Linked DNA regions of Lepisosteus oculatus. The protein of the gene in region 2 purifies or fractionates together with the protein of the main gene of each other region. This does not show direct contact. Links are inferred from orthologs where the notes say so. Each region holds a gene or a part of one and is shown on either strand. Other genes may lie near its edges.

Region 1 (8,013 bases), on a different chromosome or scaffold from region 2:
GGCTTTCCGTCCTGTAGCAGAGTTCCGAACGAAAGACGCAGCTTCTGTCTCAGTCTTGAAAAGCGTGACTTTTGAAAGACGGCAGCCTGCACAGGTCAGGACCCAATGTGGGACATCAGCTCCATTCCCATGGGGCACTGCATGGGGCTGAGGGGCGCAAAACCACCATCAACACCTAGAACTGCGCTGCTCCTGACAGGGACCCCATTACTGCCAGTCACTTGCTGGAAAAGGCTGGGATCCCTTAACTTATTCAGAACCAACAGAGAACCAGATAACAGAGAAGCATGGAAACTACTGATAAGTGCCTTCGAAACTGAGAACAGGAGGCAGTTTTTGGAAACAAACTTTTCAGCAGTGTTGAAACCAATGCCATGGCTTCTTCCAAGAAATGGCTGGATGAGATCGATCGTTGAGTCAAAAAGCTACTAGCAAAGGAAGGGCCCTTCTAGTGCTCTTACGTTCCTCCACGCTGACACGGGCAGACAGGGAAGATATACAGAGGAGGGTGGGATCAAGCTCCGCGGTTTGTAGGTCGACACAGAGAGCGATAAGTGAGCAACAGACATACCCCAAGTCGGCGTCCCCCCCAGGCTGGTTCGCCTTCAGGACAAAGTCGTCCTCCAGGATGTTATCCGGATCGTCAAAGTTGAAGTCCTCGTCAAGAGCCGCCACGATGTCAGGATCCATGTCCAGCCGAGGGCCTTGGAGACAGAAGCACAGGGTGAATGCCGTGCAGACGCCACTACGACACACTAGTCTGCACTGCACCAGGGGTGGAGGCGATGAAGTCTATACAGAAAGACATCTTCTAGAGAAGCCACTACAGCCCTCTACAGCTATACCGCAGGGAGCATTGAGTGGTATTGAGTGGATTTATCCGATTTATGATTGCTGTAATACCGATCTTCTAACTAGTTAATCTCCAGTTAATTTAGTTCCATCTGTAGCTGGATATTTAATGATTTCCAAAGGTTCCTACGTCAGAACTAAAAGTGCTCCCTTTTTTCCCAGCAAGCTAGTACTGGCTCCTGCCATACTCGATCCGTTTATGGATCATTTCCACGCCCCGTATCCTTCCTTCCGCCAGTGTCAGGTCACACCGTGAAAAACCAGCTCTAACTGCACTCCCATCGCTCACAGCTCCCTCGCCACAGCGCCGTACCTGTAACTGGTGCCGCTTTATTGAGCAGTCCCACCTCCTCCTCGAACTCCGAGGCAAACACAGAGGAAGGCAGGTTGATGGAAACGGCCTGCGAAAAGACACCCAGGAGTTTGAAGGTTATAAAAGGGAAGATTTCTCCTTTCAGGTGTGAAATACGTGTGCCATCCTTGAGCCCTGGCTGTAGCTACGGGTTCCTCATATACTCTTCTGAGACCAGGTGGCTCATTGTACTTTTGATTGATAGAAAAATTATATTATTGCAGGAAGCACTTTTGGACGTTTACCTTGATAGTTTTTCTTACTAGAAAAACATATGACACCTAAAAAAATAAAAAGACTAAACGAATGCTTTCACTGCAGCATCAGCACTGATTAGATAGCTGGTCTGTAGCAGTGTGTTACAGGGCCTTACAGGGATGGTTTCGACCTCCTCTTGCACGGGGCCGCCTTCAGTGACGAGCAGCCGCCCGTCTGTGTGCGGTCTGCTGGAGGAGACCAGCTCTGTGGAGGCGGAGGGCTCTTTGAGGTGCTGCAGGTAGTCATAATCGTCATCAAAAAACACCCCATACTCCCTCTGCTCCTCCTTCCTTTTCTCTGCATCTGCCTGGAAAAAGAAAAGATCTTCCGTGAATCACCTCCTTTTACACACTGATCTCTCGAATACAAAAACACAGCATTAGCTAAAATGCAAGCAATAATTTGTTCAAAAACGAGAAAGTTGTGGCACAGTTGCTATTGTCGTTTGCAGATCTTTTTGTTTGCTACAGTTTCTTTGCTACTTAAGTTCGGTTAAATGCGAGAACACAGGGAGCTCAAAGCAGTGACTTGGTGAAGCCTGTTCTCCCTCTTTTAAGGACTGAAGTTGTGCAAAACTGGCTGTTGTTATTACACACAGTAGGGCTGAAGATATGTGAGACAGTAGAGCTGTCTTTACCTCTGGTAAAGTTTTGATAAGCGTTCTGTTAATGCATTTAGTACATTAAAAAAAAACATAACATCACTTTATTAGCCCCATACAATTTCTTGCATTAGGAATTTCTGCAATTTCCCTCACGGGATCAATAACGTATCTATCAATCAATCAATCAATAAATAATTTAGTACATTAACTTTTAACTCCTCCTTGGCAGTTCTTTTTGATGGCGTATAAATGAAATGGAACAAAGCAGGAAATGCAGAAGACGAGTGACAGGCTCACCTTGCAGGCAGGTAACAGCACATGTTGGGGTGCCTTCTCATCCGCGGCAAGGGGGTCTCGCTGGCTCCTGTGCACCAGGTGAAAGGTCACTGCTTTCTTCTTCTCAATGAAAGGCTTCTTCTTCTTGTGAGGCTTTCAAAATAAATACGTACGACGTCCCCAGTTTATTAAAACACATTAGAAATGGATTTCATACCTCACATAATGAAATTCAGAATTATCTGTTTTATTTTATTTGAATGTTTAACCCAAAGTGGAATGTCTTGGGCAGCAAAGGTCATTAAACCCAGTTAAGATAAATTCAACACAACGAACACAACACAAGCAGAGAAACTGAAAACAAATGTTAAAAGCGTAATTGGTAAAGATTCATACCATGCCTTTGCTGAAGTTCTGTAATTATTCCAGAGAGATGCAACTACGGTAGAAGTGGATGTATCTTCTGACTCGCAGGTAACTTAATCTGAAATGACAACAGACACCTTCCTAATTAATTTCGTTTACTCTAAAACGCGTATAAACCACGCTTGCACCCCAGCTTGGAACACGCTACCAGCGCCATTACGGAAAAGACCATCTCATTCGTGTAGCTGCGGTGTCCCCATAGGCGTTTTAAATGAGCCATTATGCCTTCATCTTAAATGTTGCCATAACAATAAAGCAAGACACTCAAATAGGACATTTTTGTGGCGTCTCAAAATAAAATAATATAAATATTCGAAAAAGAATGTTTTCTTCACTTGGTACTTTCCATCAGACGAAAGTAATCGAAAATAGACCTTCGGATGAACACTTGCCAAGACATATTAATCAAATTCATGCAATCCAAGTTGACGGGGTTTCGGTGAAATGTACAAAACAGGATTACACGTGACAAATGCAACAGATACCAACTATGCATACACTGAAAAAAAAAATAGGCTATAAGAGAGATTCGAGTTTTTTCAAAAGAAATATTAATTTCTTACAACTATATAGTGTTTAATCATTCTTTCCATAGTATCCCAGAGTGTTTTACGCAGGGGAGAGTCCCACTACAGAGCAAATAAATTCAATATATGAACTAGAATTTATCCAGGACACTGGGATTGACAATCCTACTCCTGAAAATAGTGCGGCCGAAGGAACTGCTACTTACTGGCCCACTGAAACTTGTTTTCCTTTATAGCACAGAACTGTTCAAGTGTCGAGGGGAACAATAAGGGCTCATCCTGATATCTAGAGTAAATATCCATTAGGTTGCATCCTTCTCAGAATTATTTTTTTTTGGATACGCGATAGGGATATTTGTGAAATAAAAGATATAAAGCAGACTTTCGGGGAGGATTAACTATTTTTCGTTAGCGCTAAACATTCAAAAAAGCTAAATAAGTATTCCAAGTGATAATACTGTACGACAGTTTACGCACAGGGTACTGAAACAGGATTTTTTGCAATTTTCTGAATTTTCCTTCCTGAAACGACCTGTAGTGACGGTTTATACAGGCTATGTAAAATGAACAGAAAAGGCGATTTTATCAAATGATTTTGAGATCATAATAATAATAATAATAATAATGACGATGATGGTGATAATGAGACTGACTACACTTCCCATAGATGTCATCATAGTTCCTAAGAGTTATATAGTGCTTTTCTGGACACTCCACTCAAAGCGCTTTACAGGTAATGGAGATCCCCTCCACCACCACCAGTGTGCAGCCCCACCTGGATGATGTGACGGCAGCCACAGTGCGCCAGTACACTCCCTGCACACCAGCTCTCAGTGGGGAGGAGAACAGAGTGATGAAGCCAGTTCAGAGACAGGGATTATTAGCAGGCCGTGATTGGTAAAGTCCGGGGGGGAATTTGGCCAGGACGCCGAGGTAACACCCCTACTCTATTCGAGAAACGCCCTTGGATATATAGTGTCCCTGTGACTATACTGGGGCATCAGACCCATACAGACCACAGGATGAGCGCCCCCAACTTGTCCCACTCACACCAATTTCAGCCACAACCATAGTTTTTCCCAGGAGGTCTCCTATCCAGGTACTGACCAGGCTCACACCTGCTGAGCTTCAGTGGATATACATTGTGTGTTACAGCATGATATGGCTGCTGGCAAAAAATAAATCACATCTGTTTTCTAGTATATCATAATGCTATTTTCCAATGTTGGAGGCTAATCGTATTTCTCATAACATGACCGATATGCCTGGAATACTGGAATATGCATGACTTCGTCATTCCTGTGAAATGCCATTTAGTTGTAGACATTACGGATAACCTATAGCCTCTCGTCATACATGTACTACTGTTAATATCCTGTGCTCATTACCTTTCCTCACCTAACAATGCTTTGTGGCAGTTAGTGTATCACGATGTTGAAATAATGGAAGAGATATGTTGGTCTAAGAGCACAGTTATTTGGTTACCTGTTGAAGTGATCGGACAGTCAATGTCTGTTTATATCCATAGTTATGCCGGACATGGTAGAAACAGTTAGAGTGCCCTCTTCTGGCCTAAGATAAAGACCCATCTTCAAAAACTGAACAGTTAAATGTTTCCTACTAATGGAAAAACGTGTTTTGAAATGTAGAAACGTTAATATTCAATTCAATTTATTTTTCTATAGCGCCTTTCACAAAAAGTTTGCCCCAAGGCGCTTTACAATGCAAGTGACCGTACGTGTAGTCAATACAGAACAGAAAAGACCAGAAGACAACGGAGGAGAGGAACCAAAAACTCAGAGGAACCAGTCAAGCTGGGAGTAGGATTCACTTGAACTCTATCCTAAAACAGCTGGGCATTGCTTTTTAACCTCCTGTGTTTTGGATATACTTTATCTTAAGATCTGCAGCTTGAGCATAAAAAAGTATTGAGAAAAGTGCTTATTAACCAACTCATTAGTTCAATGAAGCAAAGAGCTTGGTGGAAACTAGAACCATCAGGTGTGAGAGTTCCCAGAACAGGGTCCTAATAGAGGTCTAAAGCTGAGCATTTCTATATATCATATGGTAGAGGTTAAAACCTCCTGTCTAAATTTCAGTTCAGGTTTCTTGAGACTCGCACCCTGTAGCTCCATTGGTTTAGTAATTCTCTGCCTTACCCCGATGCAATGAGCAGCTGGAGCAGCACCTAGGGGACACAGTGGGTGACAGCTCCTGGATGTACAGTACTGAGGGACCCTGTGGGAAGAGATGTGCCTGACCAGTGAACAATGCCAGTCACAGGGGAGCTCCAGGTGGCATGCTGGAGCACTGCGGCCTCACAGCGCCTGGGTCCTGAGATCATTTCTGGATCTCTGGATTCCATCCAGAGAACCTGTGCTACTTGGGCCCTGTGGTCCCAGGGATGAGTGCCTTCCTCATATTGTACCAATGGAAGTTAAATCAGTTGATTGTTAGGGATTACCGAGCTTCCAAGTGTGAAAGACCTGTTATTCGAACAGTACCGCAACCCTCTCGAACCAGTTGTCCACCCCTGTACTACAATACTGTATATAATCATAGGATGTTGTTTAACAAAGGACAACAATTTTCTACTACATTACTTAAATACCACCCTCTAAAGAAAATTAAACAAGCTTAAGGTAAGAAGCAATACCCACACACAGCTTTGACACACAAAAGTTACAGTAAAACCCTTTTATTGTACATTTGGTAGTTTCATACTACACTGTGCAGTGGACACAGTCCGTTGATGCTTCAGTAAAACATCCTACAACCACAGCTGTGCCTCAAATTCTACAAAAAAGGTTTACAATTGGCAACTCAAACACACTTTACAATACGTGGACAGCCCAGAGCGTGGAATGGCAGCAAAGTTTAACATACAAAGTGTCCTTAATGTTTTGCAGTGAATTTACACAAATCAATGTTAAGCGGCTTTTAACAAAGGGCATTCTGCACGAGATGAAGAAGTCATTCCAACACAATCCAGTTCCCTCTTCAACATCAGCTACATGCAAAATATTTAAGATGTGTAGTTCTGGAATGTGGGACACTTCATATTTTATGTCTGCATGATACTTTTGATGCCTCTTCACAACATGAAGTAAATAAAACAGAGCCCTCTGAAATCTCTTCACAGAAACTCCACATTCACACTTCAAGTGAATTGAGGCTGCCGACTGTTTGGAGAAAGGCTTTGAAACTATGTCACGTCCATCAAAGAACTCCTGTTTATCAGAGCTCAAGAGCTGCTCCACTGCAATGTAGCTGGCACAGAAATAAATACAGTGTTATATACAAAGTAATATATGCAATTGTGTTTTTAAATGTTTTCACTATATACTGTAACAATGTAGGTTTTAAAAAATACTCGATGATTTTTCACATAATATAATAATTGTTTACAAGTACACTCCCTTCGAAGGTAAATGAGAATTTAATGAAGTTTATATACATTCTGTACAGGACACATAGAATTTAAAAATAATTACGTTCATAAATTACATTTACAGTTTCTAAAATATCACCTAGGCCTCAGTTGATGTCATTAAAACTCCATCAGGGCAACATTAAAAAAAAATCAGAGCATTAAAAAAATAAACCTGACCGCCAAGGGTAACTGTCAAGGGGAAAAGGGGCAGGACTGGTGAAATATTTCCTCCTCCTCACATATGCAACTCCAATCATGACTCTTGCAGGGCTCACAGAAACAGTTTTGGCCTTTTCCATTTCCCGAAAACAGCCCAAGAACAATTCTGAGAGGCTTTATTTACGGTATCAAACAAGACGGGATATTGATCTGCTCCGTCCTTTCCGAAGGGAGATTCCAGAGCCCTATAATGGTGCTTTTAAGCCAGATACCATCTATTATTTACAATCCATCTTAATAAGTAGCCGGACCATTTCTGGAAACTCTAATTTTAGAAGAAAAGAGGGAGGATGGCAGGCTTGCACAGGAAAGAAAATCAATATGTTTTTACCTCCTCTGAGGTGTTGATATCTAGTGTTTTCGCTGCACACATACAGAAAGTTCTATGACGCCAGATACACAGGACTTACATTATTTCTGAGAAAGTGCATACTGTATCTACGGTTACTGAGATTAATTATGAATACTGGCAATGTTAAGAAGCACACCACATAAGAAAAAATAACCCTAGACCAAATCTTCCACCTCTCTGCTTGGTCTGACCCCTGTCTGGGCTCTTGATTTTTAACAGAAGATGAACTCTATGTCTCGCTTATGCATGTAGATTCCAAGACTATTTCAGCTAGCACAAAAGGCCCATAAATACAACTGAGATGACAATATTTTCAAAACACTGGATCCTTCCACAGTGCTGAGTTTTATCGTGGAACAAAAAAAGTTTGAGTGTGTGCAGGGAGAGAAGGATGAGGTCTGGGAGATGTGTTAAAAGCCCAGCTTTCTTCTCATTGTGTGCAAAGATCCTGAGAACTTCAAGGAAACTGGACTGTCTTTCACATTACATGGTGCACAGGAGAGCATGTAACAAAAACTGAACACAGGCATGTTATGTTCTAAGCAACTTGGTGCTGTGCCCAGCAATCTTTCTCCACAGCTGCACAGAAAATACCAGCCCTGGGCACAGGAGGCTGGATCTGTCCTGGGCACCATCTTCCCCGGTAGGCAAAGCCTGGCTCTAGGGCTCTTCGGCTCGGCACTGTGATGCATGACAGAGTCTTGAAGCACAGAC
Region 2 (6,976 bases):
TTTCAAATCTCTACAACTACAAGACCACCCCTTTAATCAATCAGCAGGAAGCAGTTAAGGGAGCTCTGGGTTGTTTCAAGAAAGTCCAAAGTATTGGGGCTAAACTGAACTCTCAGGGTGATTGTGGGGTGTGTCCAGAGGAGGGGGGGGGTCAAACCTTTGTCTCCATGTCCCCTTCCTTGCCAGGCGGGTGCTCCCGGGTGCTGAGGGGCAGGGGGTCCTGGGGCGCATCGATCTGGCTGAGCTGGAAGTCCCCGTGGCCTGCGATGTGCACCAGCCTGTTGACGCCGAGCGGCCGCCCGCGGACGTACCCCGAGACCTGCAGCGTGCCCAGCCCCCCCGGCCCGGGCGCGAAGGAGGCCCGCTGGGCCAGCAGGTACGGGCGCCGCGAGCGGTACGCCAGCTGCCGCTGCTTCTGCGATCCCAGGTGCCTCAGCAGCAGCACGGCCTCCTGGGGGGTATCCAGGCTGAACAGGCGTCCGTCGGGGAACCGCGCCTCCACGAGGCGGCCCAGCGCCCGCCTGGCGTCCGTCCGCTTCTTCATGGGCAGCGCCGCCACGCCCTGACACACCAGAGCTGGGGGCACAGAGGAACAGCATCACCTGGGATAGAAGCGCACGGCCTGAACTGCACAGGGTGGCCCCCCAGCATCCCAGGACACTCCGGTTTCATCGCCAGCCTAGCGTCATCTGGCTGCCAACTGCTTCTTTACAGTTTGCACACCCTCTCAATTTCACACTGCTAGTTGTCAAACAGACTCATTACTACAACCATCAGACCTGCGTAGAGATGATAAGGCACAGTACCCACTGTCCTCTGACACACCCACTGAGGGGGAGGAGTCACAGCCTTTGGCATGCCCACTGAGGGGGAGGGACCCTCCTCTGACACGCCCATTGTGGGGGGGGGAACCTCCCGAGACACGCCCACTAAGGGGAGGAGCCACTCACAGCCTGATGGGAGAATGAGCACCCATTACAGGAGTGACGCTCTCTCCCCGACTCACTGCCAGCTCACAGACACCTCGTAGCTCTGATCAGTCTCTCACTGTTCTGCGTCTCATGCAGCTGTGGGTGGCGAGTCTGGAGCAAGATGGGACACCAGTGGCCAGGGCGGTGCTTACCATGGCTGGGCAGGCCCTGCGCGAAGAGGCAGGACAGGCAGTAGTCCCCATAGCTGTCCCAACCCTCTACAGGGTCCAGCACAAACAGCAGGGTGTCCACTACTTTCGCAACATCCAGGACAGCATGCAGATCAGCTGGGGAAGAAGAGAGAAGAGACAGTCAGTGTCGGTCCAGCAGGTGACTCAAGATCAGGGACAGTCCAAGGGCCAGTGTCAGTTCGCCTGGTCAGTATCAGTCCAGCAGGTGTCTCCCAGTCAGCGGGAGTCTGGCAGTCAGTGTCAGTTCTAACGCGACCAGTGGCAATCCAGCAGGCGTCTCCTGGTCAGCGGCGGTCCAGCGTACCCATGTCCGGCCTGAGGAAGATGAACCTCTGTTTGAAGCGGGGGAGGACGAGCCCGAAGCTGCCCTGGCCCCCCACACCCTCTCGCACCAGTCCCATCTCCTCGCTCCGCAGGAGCTGCAGGACGCCCTGAGTGCCAGTCCCAGCATGCAGTGGGACCACTGCCACCAGGTGAGGGGGGCCATCCTTACTGCCCAGCTTGCGCCTCTCCAACAGCACCTGGGGACAGAGGCAGAGCCAGGAGACTGAGACACCTCACCAGAGTAAATATAGCCAGGGTCATCACACCCTCACTCACACACACTGATACACAGGGAGACGCACGCACACTCTGACACGCACACACACAGGGAGACGCACGCACACTCTGACACACACACACACAGGGAGACGCACTCACGCTCCGACGCGAGCACACAGGGAGATGCACGCACACTCTGACACACACACAGGGAGACGCACGCACAGGGAGATGCACGCACACTCTGACACACACCGGGAGACGCACGCACACTCTGACACACACACACCGGGAGACGCACTCTCTGCACTTCAGCACACAGGCAGGAATGCCCCCAGACTGCTCTCAGGCGCAGAGACGTTCAGTCTCACCGTGTCCTTCTTGTTCCTGCGGAGCTGACTGGCCTTGTGCCTCCGATCCAGCTTCTTCAGCGCCTTCCTCTGCTTCCTGCTGAGAGCCTTCACTGCCACACGGCCTGGGGGGGACAGCAGGAGGTCAGCACTGCCCCCTGCAGGCTCGGTGCACACTGCCCTGTGACCCCGGGGTCAGCGCCTGCAGACTGGCACTCTGCTCAGCCACATCCCGCAACATCGCGAAGCGCAGAAAGCGCAGGGCCCGCTGACCCCAGTGTCTGAGGGGAGCTGCTGTATACCTGACCCCGAAACGCAATGTCAGGCTCTCACACCTCGAGCTCGAACACCGCCCGCCTTGGATTCGAACGGGAGGTGACGTCACGGGGACAACAAAACAGCCCCGTGAGTGTCGCGAGGGAGGCAAGTCTGAAAACGTCCGAGCTAGAGCGCTCCTGCGCCACCGCCGGCGAGTCTGCAAACCTGTCGCTCCCAGGCGCACGAACAAGCTGCGAAAAGTGGAAACTACTCGTGTGGAAGGTGAATCAGTCAAATCTAGCGCGGATAAACAAGTTGCATAAACAGAATAGACTCTCAAAATGAAAACAAAAATAAGATTTAGGACTTTCTCTGTCCTGAAGGTGGTCCCGGGTATTAGAAATCGTACAAGTTACCGAAAGCACAACATCAGCACCGACGCCACGAGACCGCTTGGCCATTTAAACGCACGTGTTCCAGCGCCGCTGCCCAGACCTGCCCTCCTCAACACAACCGTGGCGGCTACGCAGCCCTCGACCCCCGCCGCCCGCTTACCCTTGTTCTCCCGCTCAATCTCCCCCTTGGTTCGGTGTTTGCCGTGTTTGTGCTGCTTGTTTTTCTGTTTGTATATCCCGGCTCGGTGAGCCTGCTGCTGCTCGCCAGCGGCCGCCATCTTTCGCGTGGTGCATAGGGCTGTTTTTCCCAGGGAGTACTTCCGGGGTCACAGCGCTTTGACCCGGCGCCATGATGCAGCTGAAATAGCGTATTTTGGAATTTGGAAGTAAAACGATTATCATTTGTAGGAAGTGCACTGACATTTTTTTTTCAAAAGGCGTCACATAGGTGTATTCCTTCTGCTGCTAAGCTGTCGTCAGCGGGCGGTGTACCGTGACAGTCACAGTCCAGTCGTGAGCGGGGTCTCCCCTGGCATCAGTACAAGATGTACAGGATACAGGTGCTGCTTGTAGGATCGAGTCTCAGTTCGGGGCAAGCATGTGCCTGTTCACCGGTCTCAGCTCTGGGTGTCGCACGTCACCCCTTAGATATTATAACAGTCTTGCGTCCACAGCATGACTGTCACGTTCTCAGCTCGTAAGAAGAACCTTTTACACGAGCAGTCGAAGTAGTCAATTAAACAGATAACCTAATTATTTTCCAATTTAGACACATATAAAAGTTTTCTTAAATCATTTTACAGTTGACACATCAGAATAACATACAGTAAAATAATAATCACGTGCTACTCGTTTTGTGACATCCGTGAGTTTTATGTCAAATGTGAAACACCCCACATATCATTATTAATTAGATAATTTGAAAAATCATTTGACTATAAACACAAAATAGCTAGCTTTTTGACGATAAGCATTTTTAATTGTTCGGAAATGTGATGCGAATAAATTTCAATCCCTAAAAACTTAACTAAAATGAAAATACCGATCTGGACGCAGGACACTCTGGCCGCTAGGTGGCAGCATTACAAGAAACAAAATGAACGGAGTCAGAAACGTTCCCAGTCCCCGGCGCGCCCCCTGCTGGCCATGCCTGTGCCGCCGACCCCGGAAGAGAACGGGCGACACGCCGCCTCGCCGTGATGAGTCCCGGATCCGGCTCGTCCCGCAGGACCCGGAGCCTTTGCCGCAGGAAGTCCGGGCGGCGAGATAAGAGCCGCTGTGCAAACTTTCCGTGAGGCCCGAGCTCGGCTTTCGCCTTCCTTCTGAAAGCGCGACCTCGGGAGCCTCTTATATTCCTGTGGTAAAATATCTCCATTCGCCACCACGAGCTGTAAATGATGTAATGGTCCTGTAAGACTGGACCGCGAAGGTCCTGCTTGGGACGACGTGACATACAAGCTTAAACAGATTAAAGTCTCTTCAGACGAAATATGTAGAATATTGAATAAGTGAATTATGAATTATCCCACAATAAAACAACTGCAGGCAGAAATGAGCTACACCCACTCAGACACGTTTCTATAAATAGGATTTACACATGAAACAGCCAAAACACAGGCTGGGTGCTGTGCTAGACACATGCCTCTGGGAGCACTGCTCTCTGAAGCAGCTCCTTCTCCCTCCTCGTCTCCCTCTCCTTGTTTTGCTCATTAGCCACCTGGCAAAGTCTTTATTTTATCACTTTCTTGGCCATATGTAATTTCTTGCATTAGGAATTTGTCTTTTCACATACCCCAGCTTGCTCTCCATGAGACACAGAGACAGGGAGAGAAGCTGGGGGTCAGAGCGCAGGGTCAGCCATTTATACAGCACCCCTGGAGCAGCTGGGGTGAAGGGCCTTGCTCAGGGGCCCAAGAGAGTAGGACTCCTCTGCCGGCCACCGGATTCAAACCGGCAACCTTCCAGCCACAGGGGCAGATCCTGAGCCACAGAGCCACCGCTCCACCACAGGGCGGAGATCCTGCGCCGAGCTCAGCCCCCAGCCCTGCTGTACTGGCAGTGTCATCACCCGCCAGGCCCGGCTCTGCCAGGGATGGGTGGGCTGGATTTGGCTGGTAAGTTCAGGGACTGCTGAGGCACAGCGCCCCCGTGTGGCTGGGCAGGTGTCTGTTTTTCTCTGCTTCTACGGCAAACAGGGCAAGACTTGGGACCCCCCAGCTGGGGACAGAGACAAGACCGAACCGACGCCAGGAACGGGTCACAGGGAAATGCCAACGACACCGCCCATCCCTTCCAGCCCAGGAGAGCTGTAGGCTGTCAGTCAGCAGGAGGCGCTGTGGCACCAGGAAGGGTTTTCGGCCAGGTGAGGTCCTGTAGTTGCAGGCCTTGTTTTAAATGATATCAGGTAACAGTGCGGTTCAGTTAGTTCACAGAGCTAACAGAGCCGGTTAAGCCTGTGGGATTGTGGGACTGTGGGCGGTCTGAATAAAATTCTGTCTGATCCTGCAATTCCAAGATCCCTGCGGTGCTCCGGGTACATGGATCAAAGACTCGGAGGCGCAGTCTAGGTGTAGCTGTCCGGCTCAGCGAAAGGCAGGCCGCTGTACTGCTCTCGCTCGCTGGAAGTATTGTGCATATCGAAGTCACATTTGTAGTGGCGCTTGTGCCGTAAAACGGAGGCACTGTGTCTTTAAAACACTTGAAGAACAGAAATTGCCCATTTCCTTCATAACCCCCCCCCCCATCTGCTTATACAAGCAATCATAGCGGCGGAATGCGTCTCCCATTCATGAGAGGGTTTCAGCGAGCTTCCTGTCCGCCTGGATACAGAGCCCAGGCCAGCTCATTGGCAGGAGGCGCGAGGCTGGACCGCAGCCAATCAGGAGTGCCTGGCAGTGATTCTGTGCCGTGATTGGCTGTGCCCGCAGTGGGGAATAGAGTGTTGCTGTCTTGTCTATGAACTGCAGCAATGGCATACCTTTTCACCGTTTTAGAGATCAGCTCATTTAACCTACATTTTGTCAGTGTGGGAATGAGAGATTACTCCACCATGCAGAAGAACAGTTCTGGGTTTTGTTGTGTCTGTCCTTTTTGAATTTCATTGCACATTTTGAGCCCTGTGATCCCCGATATTGTTATAGTAGGATCCACTCACATACATTTTTCAGTTTGTCTTTGGGTAGCTAATGCTTTGAGAATCTGGGTTCATCTCTCTTGGTGCATTAAATTGGGAAATATGTGGACCAGTGATTACATTTCTCAGACTGACAACGTCTGCTTGGGGTTAGAGCTGAGGCACAGGGAGAGGGGCAGTGTGGGTTAGTGGTTAGATCTGAGGCACCGGGAGAGAGGCAGTGTGGGCTAGTGGTTAGAGCTGAGGCACTGGGAGAGAGGCAGTGTGGGCTAGTGGTTAGAGCTGAGGCACTGGGAGAGAGGCAGTGTGGGCTAGTGGTTAGAGCTGAGGCACAGGGAGAGGGGCAGTGTGGGCTAGTGGTTAGAGCTGAGGCACTGGGAGAGGGGCAGTGTGGGCTAGTGGTTAGAGCTGAGGCACTGGGAGAGAGGCAGTGTGGGCTAGTGGTTAGAGCTGAGGCACTGGGAGAGAGGCAGTGTGGGCTAGTGGTTAGAGCTGAGGCACAGGGAGAGGGGCAGTGTGGGCTAGTGGTTAGAGCTGAGGCACTGGGAGAGAGGCAGTGTGGGCTAGTGGTTAGAGCTGAGGCACTGGGAGAGAGGCAGTGTGGGCTAGTGGTTAGAGATGAGGCACTGGGAGAGAAGGAGGTAGCTAGTGAGTGGAACTTTGTTTGCTTCAGAGAGGGGGAAAAGAATATTATCTATTTAAGGTCTCCTGGTGTATTTGTTTTCCATTTGTTGTTGCCATTCTGTAAAACACGAGGTTAAGGTGGTGTTGAAGTTTCACCAGGGGGTACAGGAGCAGAGCAGTATCTGTATTAACAGGTCTCTAGTTCAGACCGGTGGGAGAGCTTACAGGCTGCAGTGATACACCAACGATGAGCAGCTATTTATGGAGGGATGGGTGGTAATCAGCTCAGGAGCTCAGGAGCTGAGCCCAGCAAGGCCTGGGGCACACACACGTGTACTCACACACATGAGCACTCCTACGCACACATTTATTCACACTTGTGCACATTCCTGAATGCACATTCACATACACATGTGTGCATTCTCACACACACACACGAACACTCCAACATACACATTTCCTCACACACATGCACACTGACATACGCTAACACACACGTACACGCTCACAC
Region 3 (7,977 bases), on a different chromosome or scaffold from region 2:
AACTGCAGTGGTAACTTTCACAGCCATATCAAAAATCAAATTATGTCCAACAGTCTTGATGCCCATAGTCGAAGATCATGGGCCACCCAAAACAGAAAAAACATCAATGTTCTCTTAACATTTTCAAATGTAATTAATCATATCATCCAATTTATCTCACAGGAAGAAATTATTCCTAAAGGATCAGGTCTTATAAACTCCACAATAATCAAAACAAACCAAAAAATAACAAAATTCCCAAAGGCCATGTTCCTGCATTCTTTTGTAAATTTCATCAAGTTCATAAGAAGGTTTTATCTATAATTCATTACACAGTAAGGGGATTTTAAATTTTACATGAAAAAATCTTCTAATATAGCAATTAAAGGAGAATTAACTATTATTAAGCCTCCTATTGTGTGCCATAAGTAACAGAGCTACCATTTTAACCGTACATTTCATCATAATTGTATATTCAGATTAACAACATCTGTTTCTTTTATGATACGTTTCATCATTTTTTTCTGTCGATCATGATAGGACAGAGGAATGGGTCATTGTGTCTCAAAGAATTAAGAAATGATCTCTTGCTAAGACATCATTGATAGTGACAGGTTTTCACATTTGTTGTCTCTAAATACCTATAGGAATGACCTGAAGATCATTAGATAACAACTCAGTACTATTCTGGCTTGTGTCACTTTCAATTATGATGTAGTGGACAAGGATTTATCTTGCGAACTGATTCCCACAAACATTGTATTTCTCTCATCTATTTAACAATTATATAAAACTTTTATTTTATATCACGCCTTTAAAAGTGGCCTCTCAAAGCACTATATGGTGAGAGACAAAAGGCACACAATGAGAGAAGACAGAAGAATTACACAATGACAATAAGGGTTTGGAATTCTGTAGGAAAGCTAAGGGGGAGACACAGAACCGGACAAATAAAAGCCAATGTAAAGAAGAAGGTTTCACTTTTCAGTTTTTCATTCAAATTAGTTTAAAAGTTTAAACTAAAAAAAGAACAATCTCCGAAATTGCATAAGTGAAGAAAACTCAGTGCAATAACTAGGCTTTGGCTTTCCACTTTGCAAATATGGTTTAAAGCATTAAAATGTGCAAGAGAATGCAAAAGACATTGTAATTTGAATGATGTAAAATCCCCTACTGTTTCCTGCAGTTAGCATACAAATGGATTCACTTACCTCTCTTCCACCAAAGCAGGCACCTGATCATATGACTGTGATAGCTGTAGAAAAACAAATAATATTAAAAGAAATATCATAAGTGTCTGGTGTTTTTCCATGGAGACGACCAGATGAAACTGCCACAGATGAAGGCTGCTTCATAATCTGCTCTGATAATATAGCCTAAACCTGAGCTCGCCGACTGACACAGCCAGCAGCCAATAGAAACAGGAGAGACAGGATAATCATGTATCACAGTCACACTCACCCACACACACACACGAACATGGCTTTTGGCCAACCCTGAAAATACTGCTTCGCTCCGTTTCACCTTCCTCACACAACCCTCTTTTTAAATGAAGAGCACCTATAATGGCACAGTAACCAATTGAATTCTTCAGCTAGGCTGAAGCAGGCATTTGACATTTTCAGAGAGAGAAATAAAAATATGGTAATGTGACCTACATTCTCACTACACTGGCTCAATAATTGAAATTAATTCACTAGAGATATGTGTGTTACCCACGGAAAAGCTATAAGTGGAACAAGATTGTCTAATGAAGTGGAATGAAAATGTTGCAAAACAAGACTGAGGGAATTACATTCTCCAAACACTGCTTTTCCACGCCTTTAAATGCACAACAGCATTGCACATTTCAAAGCACTGCAAAATGTGTGTCTCAATACCACAAATGTGAGACATACCAAATCATACCAAAGTATTCTACAGCACCTTTGAACTCCTCTCACATACACAACCACAATCTTTCTCCTGAAAACAATTCCCTTTTGAACTATAATTAATTTACATTGTAAACCTTGATTAAAGATTATAGAAGTCATTATAGAAGTCTATATAGAAGTATAGAAGTCATTTTCCATTTTTCAGAAAGAAAATCGGAATTCTAAACCTGCCTTTATTATCTTTATTCATCACTGCAGAATGTAGTGCTGATCACTTTTAAGGCTGTCAGAGGCTTACATAGATGGATGATATTAGGGGTTAAAGCTCTACATTTAAGGGTTATGGGTGCTGATCTCCACTGTGTACATTTTTGTTGCACCCAACCGCAAGAACATAAGAATGCCCATCTTTTGTTTAACAGTGATTGCTCTATACCACTTAGCTGTAGAACAGGGTAGCAACATTGTTGGGGGCAGCTCTTCGTGTGATTAGTGTCCCATATACGGAGCTGTGTCTCAGTCTGCTTAATGTTCCAGAAACCATGTGTGAGTCAGAAGGATGAATGCCATTCTACAGTCATTCTGTAGGTGCTGTAAGTACAGTGTTCATATAATTTGAGATTATTCATAGTGGTAGTCAGCATATGCTCGCATGAATACTGATATTTATAATAAAAGCAACAAAAATCATTAAAATCTTAAAATGCTCATTCGTTTTAAATTGTGATATTTGGGGTTTGTAGCCTTGGTCCATAGTGGTATTAAGCGAGATCAGAATAATCTCTGTGGGATGAGTGGTGTCAGTAATGGGGGTGTCACCGAAATGGAAACACTTCAGGGCAGTTCATTAGCAGATGTGTTGGAGGCCGTTAACACGCATCACTGCAGCAAATCTGAAAAAAAAAAAGATCAACAGCATAAGCAGAAACCTGTTACCCACGCATTATGATCCTCTTCATTCTTTCTACAGACACTTCAATTACACTAAAAAAAAGCACTAGGATTACCCCATAAACTGGAGGCAAGCATATACTGTAAAAATAGATTTCCTCTGCCACTTTACTTTCAACCTGTTTCATCATCCATGTTCTGCTTTTTTTAGATGGTACCTCAGGAATGTACAGAAGTGCCCCCTGAGTAATAAATGATTTTTAAAACTCTAATTGTTCAAAGGTAAATGATGGTGTCTTTTAATATTAGTAAATTTAATTTTAAAAATGCCACAACTGGTTTTCCACTTTTTCCATTTGTTTTGGAACACTATGTTGTGACATATTGAACCTTTTCTATGTGCTACATGTACTGAAAAGTAAAGATGCTGCAATTCTGCGTTCTCTTGATGTACAGTAGTGCCTTTGGGGCTCTAGTATTAAAATATGTCATAATATTCTAATAGGAATCACATCATTGCCCTTGTTATGACAAATGACTTGACTTGACTTGAACTTTATTGCCATATGTAACCGGTGCTGGTACAATGGAATTCTTACTGACAGAAAGTCTCTCGATTGTAAAACAAGTGTAAAAAAAACAAAACAAAGTGCAAACAGTGCATCAAGACAATGTACAAACAAACAATAGACAATGTGCAAGTAAACATGCAGACAGTTTGAATGTAAACAATACAGACGTGTAAACAATGACTGGAGACGTACAATAAATAAATTACAATGAGGTAGATGGTGATGGTGTAGGTGTGGTCCGAGGGGGATGGCTAAATGTGTTCGCCAGTCTCACTGCTTGTGGATAGAAGCTATTGAAGAATCTAGTGGTAAGTGTCCGTATGCTCTTATATCTCTTGCCTGAGGGCAGTGGGGTGAAGAGCTCATGCCCGGGGTGGTAAATGTCCTCTATGATGGCCAGAATTCTACCACGGCAGCGGTCCTCATAGAGCTGTTTAATCTCGGTGAGACCGCAGCCGATGATCTTCTGGGCCATATTGACCATTCTCTGCAGTGCCTTTCTTTCTCGCGAAGAGGTGTTGCCATACCACACGGTGATCCCGTTGGTGAGGACGCTCTCGATAGTGCAGCGGTAGAAGTTCACCAACACATGTATTGGCATCCCCCATCGCTTGAGGCACCTCAAGAAATTAAGGCGCTGAGCCTTCTTCATGATAGAGTCAGTGTTCACAGTCCAGGTTAGATCTTTAGAGATGTGAATTCCCAAAAACCTAAAGCTGGTGACTGTTTCCACTTCCGTTCCATCAATACTGAGTGGGCTGTGAGTGTGTGGCCTGTGTCTCCGAAAGTCCACTATTAGCTCTTTCGTTTTCTTTATGTTCAAGTCCAGGTTATTGCTATGACACCACCTAAGCAGCTGTACAACTTCATCCCTGTAAGTGGACTCGTCATCATCACTGATCAGTCCTATTATAGTGGTGTCATCGGCAAACTTAATGATGCGGTTGTTGCTGTGTCTTGCTGTGCATGGAGCTCTATATGGAGTACCTTTTTTCATAATTTAATCAACGAAAGATTTTGGCATTTTACATGTAAATATTTTCTTGCCTTGCCAGTCAAAAACAGAATAGATTTACAACTGTTCAATAAAAGTTTTATTTTTATGTAACATGTTAACGTTTTTCGTTTTACCTGCAAACTACATAGACAAAACAACAGTATTTTCACTTTATTTTACTGAGTTTATAACATTTCATGGGAAAGGATATATCAGTCATGGAAAAATACTATTATTAGCTAATTATTATTTGGATGACGACGATATCGAATAAGACTAACTTTTTACCCATCTATACAGTTGGGTAATTTACTAAAGCAATCTCGAGGGTATATATTCTGCCATTATCAGTTATATCTGATAATATTATTTTATTACATTTAAAAATAATTAAATGTCCGTTATAATTAAATTAAAAAGAACACCGAAACAAATCAAAATGACCAGAAGTGTACGGTAAGACATGCGCATAGAGCAATTACTTTTCAATCAGGCGTGCAGAAGACACCTATTATTTCCAGGAAAGGCACTAATAAAAGTGTCTGAAATATTCCCTGAATATTCATATTGAAATAAGTAAATATTTTGGACAAGGTTTTATAGATTGGTACATTTTAAAAGTACGATCATTACAATACATAAAAAATAGGCGCTTTCTAAGTTCCTTATTGGGTCTTCCGAAAAGCCATTGTCGCGGTGATTGCTGGGATCGCTCTTTCCTGCTAGGGCGCTGAGACGAGAAACATGGGTAGGTATTGTATTTTGCTGGAAAAAATACATTTTATCTGCATTTCAGTCTCTCCGAGGCAATAAAAAGGCGTGTAAGTGGTTTATAAGAGTATATTAATTGTATTTGTGGTATTTTACTGTGATTGAGACGATTTTTTAAATGCATACTTGCATACTTGTTGGGTAACGTGGAGAGCGGCCATGCTGCATTCGCCTGTGCGCCACAATTTGGCCGAGGTATTAGCACTCCGGTCCGTGATTCGGAGTTGTTTATCAATTAGAATATGAAATAAGGATTTAAAAAAAATGTTAACAGTATAGCGTTTTCTTAACTATTATAAAATAATAGTTCCTTGTTACTTGTTATACCGTTTAACCGCATCGTTAACAAGGTAAGAGGAAAAGGCTTAGCTGAGCGTTTGATTTGAATCCTGTATTCTTGTGTGTTTTTTTTGTAGAAAAGCATTTATAAAAAAGGGCTGGTGTAAAGTGAATGTTTATGTATATCCTGATGTCATGCGATGTAAAGGCTTATGCGGACGTGATTTCCAAAAATTTAGAGGTGTTGAGTAAATTTATAATAGATAAAACTCCTTTTTAGGTACGATTTGTTTTATTCATGGTTCTTTAAATCCATTAAGACATCGGTGTGCAGTCGTAATTTGGATTCTAGACTATTCACAAGTGAAGTGGTTTACTTGAAGTAAGTTGTCTATCTCTGTTGTCAAGTACTAGGGAGTGGACTGGGCATAACACTAAAACACTTTATGTGGAAAACACATAAGTTGCCTTAGAAGAACATTATAAAAAGCTGGTAAATATTTATATGTATTGTGCGATGAATTGTTTCACCTTTTAATGGAGAAATGATGTTGATAATGGACTGCAATGAAAAGCTACAGGTGTGTACTAAACACTTAAATCACTTTTGTTTAAGTAACTTGAGGCACTGTAAAAGCATTTTAAGCAAGATTCTCAATAAATGTTATGTGAATTTTGATAACTTGACAGTTGTAGACAGGAAGTAAAAGGTGACAAATATTGAGGCCTGGCAATATAACTCCTGTCAGATGTGTACACCATGAAGTGCTTTGAAAGAATTGTGGAAGATTAAATACTTATCATATTTTGACTGCTTTCTTGTTGTAGATTATAGGTACACAAGAGGACTATACAGGCCTACATCATCTTGCAGTACCATTTGCTCTTCTTATTAATAATCTTAGATCTCCTGGAATCAGATTCTGCCCACTTAATCTTTGCCTTTCCTTTCCTCAGGCAAGTGTCGTGGTCTTCGTACAGCCAGAAAGCTGCGCAATCACCGCCGTGAGCAGAAATGGCACGATAAGCAGTACAAAAAGGCTCACCTGGGCACTGCCCTGAAGGCCAACCCCTTTGGTGGGGCTTCCCACGCTAAAGGCATCGTCCTGGAGAAAGTGTAAGATTTCCTTTGCGTTCTGTATAAAGTAAATCTTTCTAGCTTGCTGTATTAAAACATTCACTGAGACGGTGTTGTCATGCGGATTCTGTTTGGATTCTGAACCTCTGAGGGAATGTTCTTGAAATAATGTTGAAATGGGCGAATGTTGTCGGTGATGCCTTGTGAACAGCTAAGGGGTTCCAGATTAAGTGAGCGTTTTGAGTGTCCCGTTGATTAAAAGAAAAGGATATTTTCAAATTTAAAAGAGTGTGCTCTGCACATTCATGTGATGCTACATTTAAAGATCTGCACATCCTGCAACCCAAATCAAATCAAAGTTTATTTATCAAATGCACAACAATACGACGTGCAGCAGTAGTTGCTGGCAATGAAATGTCTTTCTTTCGAGCTCACAAGAATCACAAAATCAAAAATCACTAAATTGAGGTTATGTTTTTTGAAATTGAATTAAACTCAATATGGGTAGAGCTGCTATGTGTCCATGGTGTATGCAGTATATACAACTAGTGCAGTTATGCTGAATACAGTGAAAACTGTCCATGTAGCCATTACAGGTGATTTGCTAAAGGAGCTGCAGGTTGGCTATTTAGCAGTCTTATTGCCTGGAAGTAGAAGCTGTTCCGTAGTCTGTTTGACTTGGACTGAATGCTTCGGTACTGTTTACCGGATGGTAGGAGGGAAAACAGTTTGTGACCGAGATGACTGGGGTCCTTGAGAATGGACCTGGCCTTCTTCAGACATCTAGCTGAGTAGATATCCTGGATGTTTGGTATCCTGATATCCTGGACCCCCAGCTCTTCTTTCGTAGTGAATGAATGAGTTTTTTCTCCCACAGGGGTGTTGAGGCTAAGCAGCCCAACTCGGCCATCAGGAAGTGTGTCAGAGTCCAGCTGATCAAGAACGGCAAGAAGATCACTGCCTTCGTGCCCAATGACGGCTGTCTTAACTTCATTGAGGTTAGTCCCAGGGCTGGCTGGGCTGCAGCCTTTCTGGAACTGTACAGAACTTTGCGTAATAGGCTAGAATTAATTTTTACCTAATGTTTCATTTCTTGAAATGTTTTAGTCAGATGGCAATCTAATTGTTCAGAGCCTGGATTTTAGTATCAAGTATCTAAATTGGCTATTGCATAATACTAAGGATATTCTCATGATACCAATTATTTTAGGATTACTGGAAAGATCATATTTTTTGATAATGCTAAATGTGTTACAAAGTTATGCATATTTCATAAATCTGTGTTGTCTGATTTCACTTCCAATTGGTTATTTTTTCTTTACCTTGAAAATGGGTAATACACAGATTTTCAGCAACGTCTGTAGACGTATACCTGGAAATTGATCCAGAAAATTACAGATGACTTGTTTTAAGTCTACATTAAAAAAAAACCTTAAAAGCCCCTTTAATATCTTAAGTTCAAAGGAGTGAAATCACTAAAACTAATTAGTTCTAAGCAGTATAAATCGATTCTGCCTGATGGAAACAAAAATA
Region 4 (7,684 bases), on a different chromosome or scaffold from region 2:
AGTGTGTTCAATTAAACACAAAAGTGAAATGTAAAAATGTACTGGCCTACAGAATTAGCCTCTCATCATTTGATCCCCAAAGAGATGTCTGCAATGTGGCTGAATGTTCTTACAATGGAGGCTTTCAAGGTCAAAGATTTACTAGTGTACATTGCAGTCCGGAGTGCCCTTCTTGTATGAGACAAGGCTGAAATGCATAATCGTATTATAAATGAAAAATATAAGTGATGAATATGGCACAATTGTATACCGCCCATGCCTAGCTACTGGGTGTTCAAAAAGTCTAAAAATAATGTTTGTGTGACCTGGAGTAAGGCATGGGATAGAAATGCCGATCTTGCAGCAAGGAGCCCAAAGTCCTTGCACAGCTGTGCTTGCAGGCTGTCAAGGGAAATATGAGTTACAAGCACATTAGTCAGTCCCAGGAAACTGCAGAGCAAAGTTGAAAAAGTGTTCTCTGGAACTGGGAATCTGACTCTTCCTTGCTCCAGGTGTGATTCAATTTTAATTAAGAAACTGTTTAGCTTTTTGCACACTGAAATGTAGATGTGTGCCTTTAAGAAAATGGAATTCTGGAATGCTGGAGTTACTCACTAGGTAAGATTCAGGAATTGCAGTAGGTTCCTGTACAGACATGACATAGTTGCCTTTAATTAATGACTACATTTTAATCATCAGTAGAGTAAATTATTTCCAGTGTGTCCAGATCTTATGAAAGGTATCACTCCCCTTATATTTAATGCTTTGGGTTTACCTATAGTAGTTTTCCATGCTTTATATTCTCTTTCCTGTTAAACACTTGGTGCCAGAAAGGACCTATAGAGAGCAGACTACATTTCTGAGATGGAGAGACTCATGGTATATAAGGTCAGTTTCTGATAAGCTGTTATTTTAAAGGTGTGATGTTCAATATGCAAGTTAAGATCATGTAATTATCACATTATCACAAACTGATCTCAGCAAGGTCTTTGCATCAAAGTGCTTTACTTACACCTTTGTGAAAGCCAGTTATGCATTGTTGCAAGGTTTATTATATGAGTTGACTAAGTTGGTTGGTTCTGATTGGTAAAAAATCAGAGCAGGTTCCCTAGTGGCGTACCTCCTAAAATGCCAGACTCTGTCATTTGCTGGTCCATTTTTATTCCCAGGTCTAAAGAATCACAGATCTCCTCCATCTCTAATGAAGGATAACTAATGAGGATTTAGCTCTTTTTTTACTCTCCATTGTGACCTCTGTGAAGTACATAACTGGTGAGGCTAGAGGCACATCCTCCAAGCCAAACTCCACTTCTTTGACTCACTCCTGAACATGGCTGACTCTTCATCATCTGACAAGAAGTTCAGGGACATTAGTGTTTGCAGTTGCCAGTGGACAGTTGAGGTAGGTCATAGGAGTGAACTGGGTATTCCAAACTTAAGGACAAAAGGTTTGTTTAGCCTAATTGTTTTAAATCTTTTTTTTTTCTTTCACAAATATTCATATAAAGTTATTCGTAGACCTAGACCTTTAAATTAAAACCCATGGTGGTCAACCGTCTTGTGGTTCTGTATCTTTATCCCAAAGATGCTGGCACTCTTCAAGAAGTGCAGTAAGTTTGTGAGGTTTTTCTTATTAGGTCATTTTTCTGCATGGGTTTCTTTGGAATCTTTAATGTTCAATAAGAACTTTAACTTATCACAAGGAAGATTTGCGGTATGCATATGTTGTATATGATAGTGACCTTCAAACCAGGGTTAATTAATCATTGCGTAGTACTACAGTACATAGACAATAACAGTTAAAAATGAAGAAGTAGTTTCCTAGTGGACAGCATTAATAAAGTCACGGGAGCAAGGGGTGACTAGAATTAACATAATGAAATAATCATACTGAAGTGGCTGTTGCTAATTAGTGCAATCTTAGACAACATTGCATTTAGAATTTTAGTGTACAGAACAGCACAATATTTAAATAGTGGCAAGCTGCCACATACAGTGTAAGGGTTGAGGGTACTGCATGGTACAGCCACGATCTTTTCGTCTTCTAACTCTGAAGTACCATTGTGTGGTTTTTCATGGTCTTGGTTATCAAACCATTAGGATTTAGATTGTAATAACATGTTTTCCATCCTTTTTAGCATCACTTCACTTGCTGGAGCACTGGTCTCACTTGCAGTCCTGCAGGAGCCCATTAAAATACTTGATTAACCAGTGTTCTGTTTTTCCTCCAGGAAACTTGTGATTTCCTCGTTTGCTTCACACAGCATTAAAATTCCTTTGTAAGAATGTATTTTGTCTGAGTGTGGGATTGGGGGAATTAAGTTCTAATGAAATAAGTTTCATTCTTTGCAAAGGTTTATGAACGGTGTCTTCTGTGTTGAGCTATGGAAGTGTTGCATTTATAGTGTCATGCTTCCAGACACAATGCAGGTGAAGCCAGGTTTGGCATGGGACTATAAAGCCATGAACATATTTGTAGTGACTTGGAGGAGACTGGATTAGACTTCTTTGTCCAGAACCTGGAAACCAAGAAGCCATCTTATTTTCACTGGGCTATTATTTGCAAGTATAAAAACACTGGCTCATAAACTGATAAAACATGCAAATTCAACAAGCATATCCCATGACTTCCAAGAGGGTGTAAATATATAGAAATCTGTATATTTAGAAACTTTAAAATATATATTCTAAGATAGGAAATGAGATAATTTAATATGCGTACAATTTTATTTTACAGGTGATGTGTACATTTATAAGCAGATTTAATTTTCATCCTTGTTTTTTTTAAACTTGTCAATTAAAATGGAAGATTGTGACTCCTGTAGTGTTGTCTTTTTTTTTTGTCTTTGGTTATTCCCAGTAGTGTACTTTTAAAAAGTCTGCAACATACTGCAACTGCTATGATGAGCCTTAAACCTTTAGACTCAAGTGCCACCTTGTGGACTGTGGAAAGAAATCTACAGAACAAAAGGAAACAGAGCTGGCACTGCAGACGTTCTGCTGCCTTTAGGGGTGAGTGGTGAGTGATTGTAAGAAAAACTAGGACATGGGCCAAGCATGTCTTGAAGAAACAAAGTATAGTTTTAAATCACAATATTTCCTGATCATTCTTAAATCATCCGAGTAGAATTAATCATATGATTGCTACTCAGTTCGTAACTAATGGAAAAGCTGGACCATTTGATTCTAAACTGACACTGCCTGTTAACATTGTCTTGCCCAGACTTGAATAGTTTGCAGGTTGTGAGAAGATGGAGGTGAAGGTTTACAAATTTGCCTATTTTAAGTTATTCCTAACTGAAAATGTATAACAAGCATTGGAGATGTTTATTGTTGGGCAACCATCCATTGTCTGAAAATTGCTTATTCCCGGTAAGGCACATAGCAACTTAGAGCCTGTTCCAGAACCACAGGATGCAAGATGGGCCTATTCCCTAGACCCAACACTAATTAAACTAGCCATTAAGACATTTAAATGAAGAGCTCCCAATACTGCACTATTAAACCCCTTGCATCCTTGTGGAAAAAGGGAGACATTGCAGTTCTCTGCTTCCTCACAGATCTTATGTCCTGGGCTAGATTTCAGAGTGAGTTTTACGCTTAGCTATTCTAAATCTTTGTGGTCGTGATGAAGGTGTCCTGTCCAGCCTGAAAGTAATCCACTCCTCTATGCTCTGCCTTGCATCCCAAGCTTGAAGGATTGTCTCTAGTTTCCTGAGCCTGTGCGTGTGGTTCCTGCTGAGCGTGTGATTTCTCATACATGAATGTATTTAAGAACTATACATCATCAGAAAGCTGTGCCATCAAAATACTAGCTCCAATACAGAACATGACATTAGAAAACATCTGAAGTTGGAATAACTGTCTGATCCCAAATGTGTGTAGTGATTCAAATAGTAATTTGTTTAGTCATGGAGGAACGGCTGGTAGTCAGAATAACTCAAAATTACAATACTAGGCTGCAAAAGGACAAGTGGTTTTTAGTTTTTGTAAGATATCTTGCTCATTCTGAACAGGTGCAAAAGATCCCATTATTTCATCTAAATAATATAAGTAAAGGAGTAAGGACTGGTTTCATGTCTGGTTTGCACTAGACCCGGACTGGTTTGTGTAAGGGCTTAAAGGAATATGGTACACTGGCAGCCTGGAGGAACTGGACCTTTTGTAGTCTTGAACACAGGTCCATGAGGAAATCAATGTTCAAAGGCGCTGACAAAGTCAACCCAGTGGACGTCTTCAGAATCAACAGTGAAAGATGAACCAGGGGACACAAGTGGAAATTATGGGGAAGTGCACTTAAAGCTGAGAACGGGGGGCAGCTCTTTTACTTCAAGGGGTAAAAGAAAAGCGCTATGTAAGTGTAAGGATGGTTTATTTAAAGGTTTGTGGGAGTAATTAGGAAACGGTAGGAATGAATTCATCTGCTCATTACCTGCTCACTACCAGATGGACTAGTTTGGTAAAACGAACTGGTACTGTTTTTACTGCATGTTTTTAAGTCCGTTTTTTTCTGGTGCGAATCAGGATTTCTAAGTGTATTAATCTACTGATATGAGGATAAAATATTTAGAGTCCCGTTTTTTGTCCATTATGATATACAGTTGTTAAATCGGTTTCAAAAAGACACTTGCTGTGCCTACAGAAATCACTGTAGGCTAACCTAGTACTGTACTGCAGGCTGCTCCACCTTGTGGAGGGAGATGTGTGGGTCTGCTGGCGCCTGCCTGAATCCCCCCATGTGACGCCGGTCGATACACAGGCGACTCGGTGATCTCTTCAAAAATTCAGCAGTTCTTGTGTGCGGAGTTCGCCGAACAAGATGGTGAAGTCGGGGAAGCTTCGGTCTGGAACCGCACAGAAGCTGAAGCGATGGAAAAAGGGCCACAGCAGTGATTCAAATCCGGAGACACGGCGCTATCGGCAGGCGGCGAGAAGCCGGTTCTTTAGCCGGCCTTCAGGTGAGGATCCCGCAGTCTGACGCGCAGGATAGGTCGGGGCTTTCCGGCCTGCCTGTGGAAAACACGTGGGTACACGGTCGTAACCCAGGGTGGAAATTACTGTGAAATCTGCTGTTTTGTCAACGTAGTGTTTTTCAGAATTGGGACCTGTGTATTACATGTACTGTGCTGGAGCTAAATGAAGAGTGAGATAACATGTCATAAACTTAAAATCTTAGATAAACTCTCGAACGTAAGTCGCAAACTTATAAATATCGCTAAATATATGACAGTCTCGTATCTACAAATATCGTTTGCTTCCTTTACCTTAAACGATACACGCTTGTTCTGCTTTGGAATAGAGATCATTGGTAATTTTAGTTCTCATCGGCAACACCACGTGTGTATTTAAAGAGACAACGACTACCAAGTTTGTCCTGGCAGCCAGTTCAATCGACTGCTGGCTGCCTTGTGCCACACATTGTCATCAAAACTGACTTCGTTTGAATATCCAATCTCTTAGGACGGAAAACGTCAGTATAATGTGTTGGACGATTTTGCTCGTAGATCAGTGAGCTTTAAATTTTAGTGGAAAAAAAATCGAAGCGTGGACTTCATCCCAGAATTATTTACATGAAATAAAACAAATAGTCTGATTTATAGGGACCAGGGAAAGTATTGTTTTCAGCTGAACCTATTCAGTGCATCAGACTTTAAAAAAAAATACTTGATGATTTAAAAGCTTTAAGAAGTAATTGGATTATAAACAGTACAGTAGGGTACAACAGCAGAGTCCCGCCTGGGGTTTGAACCCACTTCAAGTTACAAGTCCAGCACCCTAACCCTGCTCCACACTGCTGCCCCTTCACAGCGCTTCATCGAGTGAATGATGCAAGTGCGTCCCCCCATTTTTTTCTCCAGGTTGATCCTGGGGCCTGTTTCCAAAACTAAGCGTTCCCTCCTTTGCGGGCCGCTCGGCTGGGCTCTTTTTGTTTTTGTTTCCCAGAAAACAGTGACCTGACCGTCGATGCCCTCAAGCTGCACAATGAGCTGCAGGTGGGGGCCCTGGAGAGGCAGGAGGGCGGCTCCGACCGTGCCTGCTCGGCGGAAGGCCCCGCGCTCTCCGAGAGGACCTCCGGCACGTTCCTCAGCGGCCTGTCTGACTGCTCCAACGTCACCTTCAGCAAAGTGCAGCGCTTCTGGGAGTCCAATTCTGCTGCTCACAAGGAGGTTGGTACCTCCGGGACAGGCGGGGGGGGGGCAGCTACAGCCCCCAAGAACGGACGGCCGCTCTGATTTTCGTTTCCGCTCTGGTTTGAGTGGATCACAAGTCGTGTCGCCTGTTTTTAAGGTCTGAACCAGTAGCCATTAAAAGTGCCTTTAAAATCTGCCAGATTCTAGCCCTCAGGGACTGGAGGTGCCCATTAAAAACTTCAGAGCCCTCGCATAACGATGTATCGTAATTGAATGTAATGGCTCTGGTTGGGATCATTGTCTTCAGTGATCTCGGGGTTTTCAGCAGAGCTCTGTGTCTCACCCTGTGCGCTGGGGGCTGCTGGTCCCCCTGACCGCTGCTCTCCTCGGCTTGTGAATTCGGGTCCCGTCTCCCTCCTGCCTCTGCTGGGCTGGCAAACAGGCTGGACAGCTTGACTCGCAGTCGCTTCCGGGCCTGCAGTGTAACAGTGCACAGTGAGGGGAACAGCCGTCTCTCCTCTTCACTTTGCTGGGAGACTTGCAGTGCAACTTAAGTTACCGTTTCATGCTTTTAACATGTTTCAATAACACCCCCTCTCCCCTGGGACACCTGATCTCCATGGGCTCTCTAAAGCGCTGGTGTGGCGCCAGTCCCACAACCTGTCTGGTACTACTGCCTCTAGAGAAGGAAGGCAGAAGCCGGTTGAGTAGCTTGCCCCGGGTTCGAGCCTGTGCCCTGTCACTAGCAGACTGTGCCAAAGATTCCCCGCGCGGCAGAAGACAGCTGGCTGAGCGCTCTTTGTATCGCATGCTCGGTTATTCTCAATTGGCGAGTTCTAGTAGTTGTTTTGTTATCCTACTAAAGGGAGATCGTTGATGAGAGGTGTAGTAGTGGTGGGTCAATTGCTATCCAGTACACTAGAAATGAGCTGGCTGTTGTGTGCTGTTAGTCACATGAGCAGAGCACGAGTGGGAGAAAAACTGCTGCTCTCCGAGAACGTCACCGATGACAAGGATTCCTCATGATCGCATCTTCCTCACTGGTGCCTACCCCCCCATTTTCAATAGAATTTATCTCTTGCATTCGAGGGTTTCAGCTTTTTCAGGAGTGTGTCCCTTTTCTAACTTGGCATTCAACTGTAAGTTTAAAACCATTTTAGTGGTATGTCAGACGGTTTCTCATATTTACTCATCTGCCTGCAGAGTGATCCCAGACTTATCTATTTTCACAAGTGAGGTAGTGCAGGAAGCGTTGGGTTTGTGTGAGGTCGTCTGTGTTCAGCGTGTCCCTGGTCTGTTTTCCAGATCTGCGCGGTACTGGCTGCGGTGACGGAGGTGATCCGCGCTCAGGGTGGGAAGGAGACGGAGACGGAGTATTTTGCTGCTTTGGTGAGACGTGGACCTGCTTTGTGCCCTTGTGTACTGGAAGGACACTGTGTATTGATGATGCAGAAATCCTCTGTCCTGGCTATCAATTATTAACAGTTCACGTTACCTCTGATGATTACGTTTGTTGTGCCCAAAACAAACATAATATAACACTCACCTTTAAAGTGACCCAATTCACTGGTACT

Evidence for each region.
Region 1: the proteins of tsr1 (region 2) and ltv1 purify together in Homo sapiens (co-immunoprecipitation; 4 studies listed by BioGRID and IntAct, counting the BioPlex papers as one, with this or other methods). This does not show direct contact. The link is inferred for Lepisosteus oculatus from reciprocal best matches to the Homo sapiens genes TSR1 and LTV1.
Region 3: the proteins of tsr1 (region 2) and rps23 fractionate together in Homo sapiens (co-fractionation; 3 studies listed by BioGRID and IntAct, with this or other methods). This does not show direct contact. The link is inferred for Lepisosteus oculatus from reciprocal best matches to the Homo sapiens genes TSR1 and RPS23.
Region 4: the proteins of tsr1 (region 2) and rrp12 purify together in Homo sapiens (affinity purification with mass spectrometry; 3 studies listed by BioGRID and IntAct, counting the BioPlex papers as one, with this or other methods). This does not show direct contact. The link is inferred for Lepisosteus oculatus from reciprocal best matches to the Homo sapiens genes TSR1 and RRP12.

The regions. Positions count from the first base shown.
Region 1 is NC_090712.1:1,926,634-1,934,646, forward strand, and holds the start of ltv1 (protein LTV1 homolog), read right to left. Parts: upstream 3,015-8,013; 5' UTR 2,742-3,014; coding exon 2,739-2,741; intron 2,496-2,738; coding exon 2,364-2,495; intron 1,770-2,363; coding exon 1,578-1,769; intron 1,254-1,577; coding exon 1,166-1,253; intron 705-1,165; coding exon 572-704; intron 1-571. UniProt on the Homo sapiens protein: Essential for ribosome biogenesis.
Region 2 is NC_090721.1:10,489,937-10,496,912, forward strand, and holds the start of tsr1 (pre-rRNA-processing protein TSR1 homolog), read right to left. Parts: upstream 3,018-6,976; 5' UTR 2,987-3,017; coding exon 2,869-2,986; intron 2,181-2,868; coding exon 2,077-2,180; intron 1,684-2,076; coding exon 1,467-1,683; intron 1,259-1,466; coding exon 1,124-1,258; intron 577-1,123; coding exon 158-576; intron 1-157. UniProt on the Homo sapiens protein: Required during maturation of the 40S ribosomal subunit in the nucleolus.
Region 3 is NC_090699.1:56,700,456-56,708,432, forward strand, and holds the start of rps23 (small ribosomal subunit protein uS12), read left to right. Parts: upstream 1-4,967; 5' UTR 4,968-5,060; coding exon 5,061-5,064; intron 5,065-6,323; coding exon 6,324-6,483; intron 6,484-7,321; coding exon 7,322-7,442; intron 7,443-7,977. Other genes in the region: atp6ap1la (ATPase H+ transporting accessory protein 1 like a), read right to left, coding at 1,191-1,291. UniProt on the Homo sapiens protein: Component of the ribosome, a large ribonucleoprotein complex responsible for the synthesis of proteins in the cell.
Region 4 is NC_090699.1:16,787,477-16,795,160, forward strand, and holds the start of rrp12 (RRP12-like protein), read left to right. Parts: upstream 1-4,666; 5' UTR 4,667-4,798; coding exon 4,799-4,937; intron 4,938-5,922; coding exon 5,923-6,146; intron 6,147-7,415; coding exon 7,416-7,499; intron 7,500-7,684.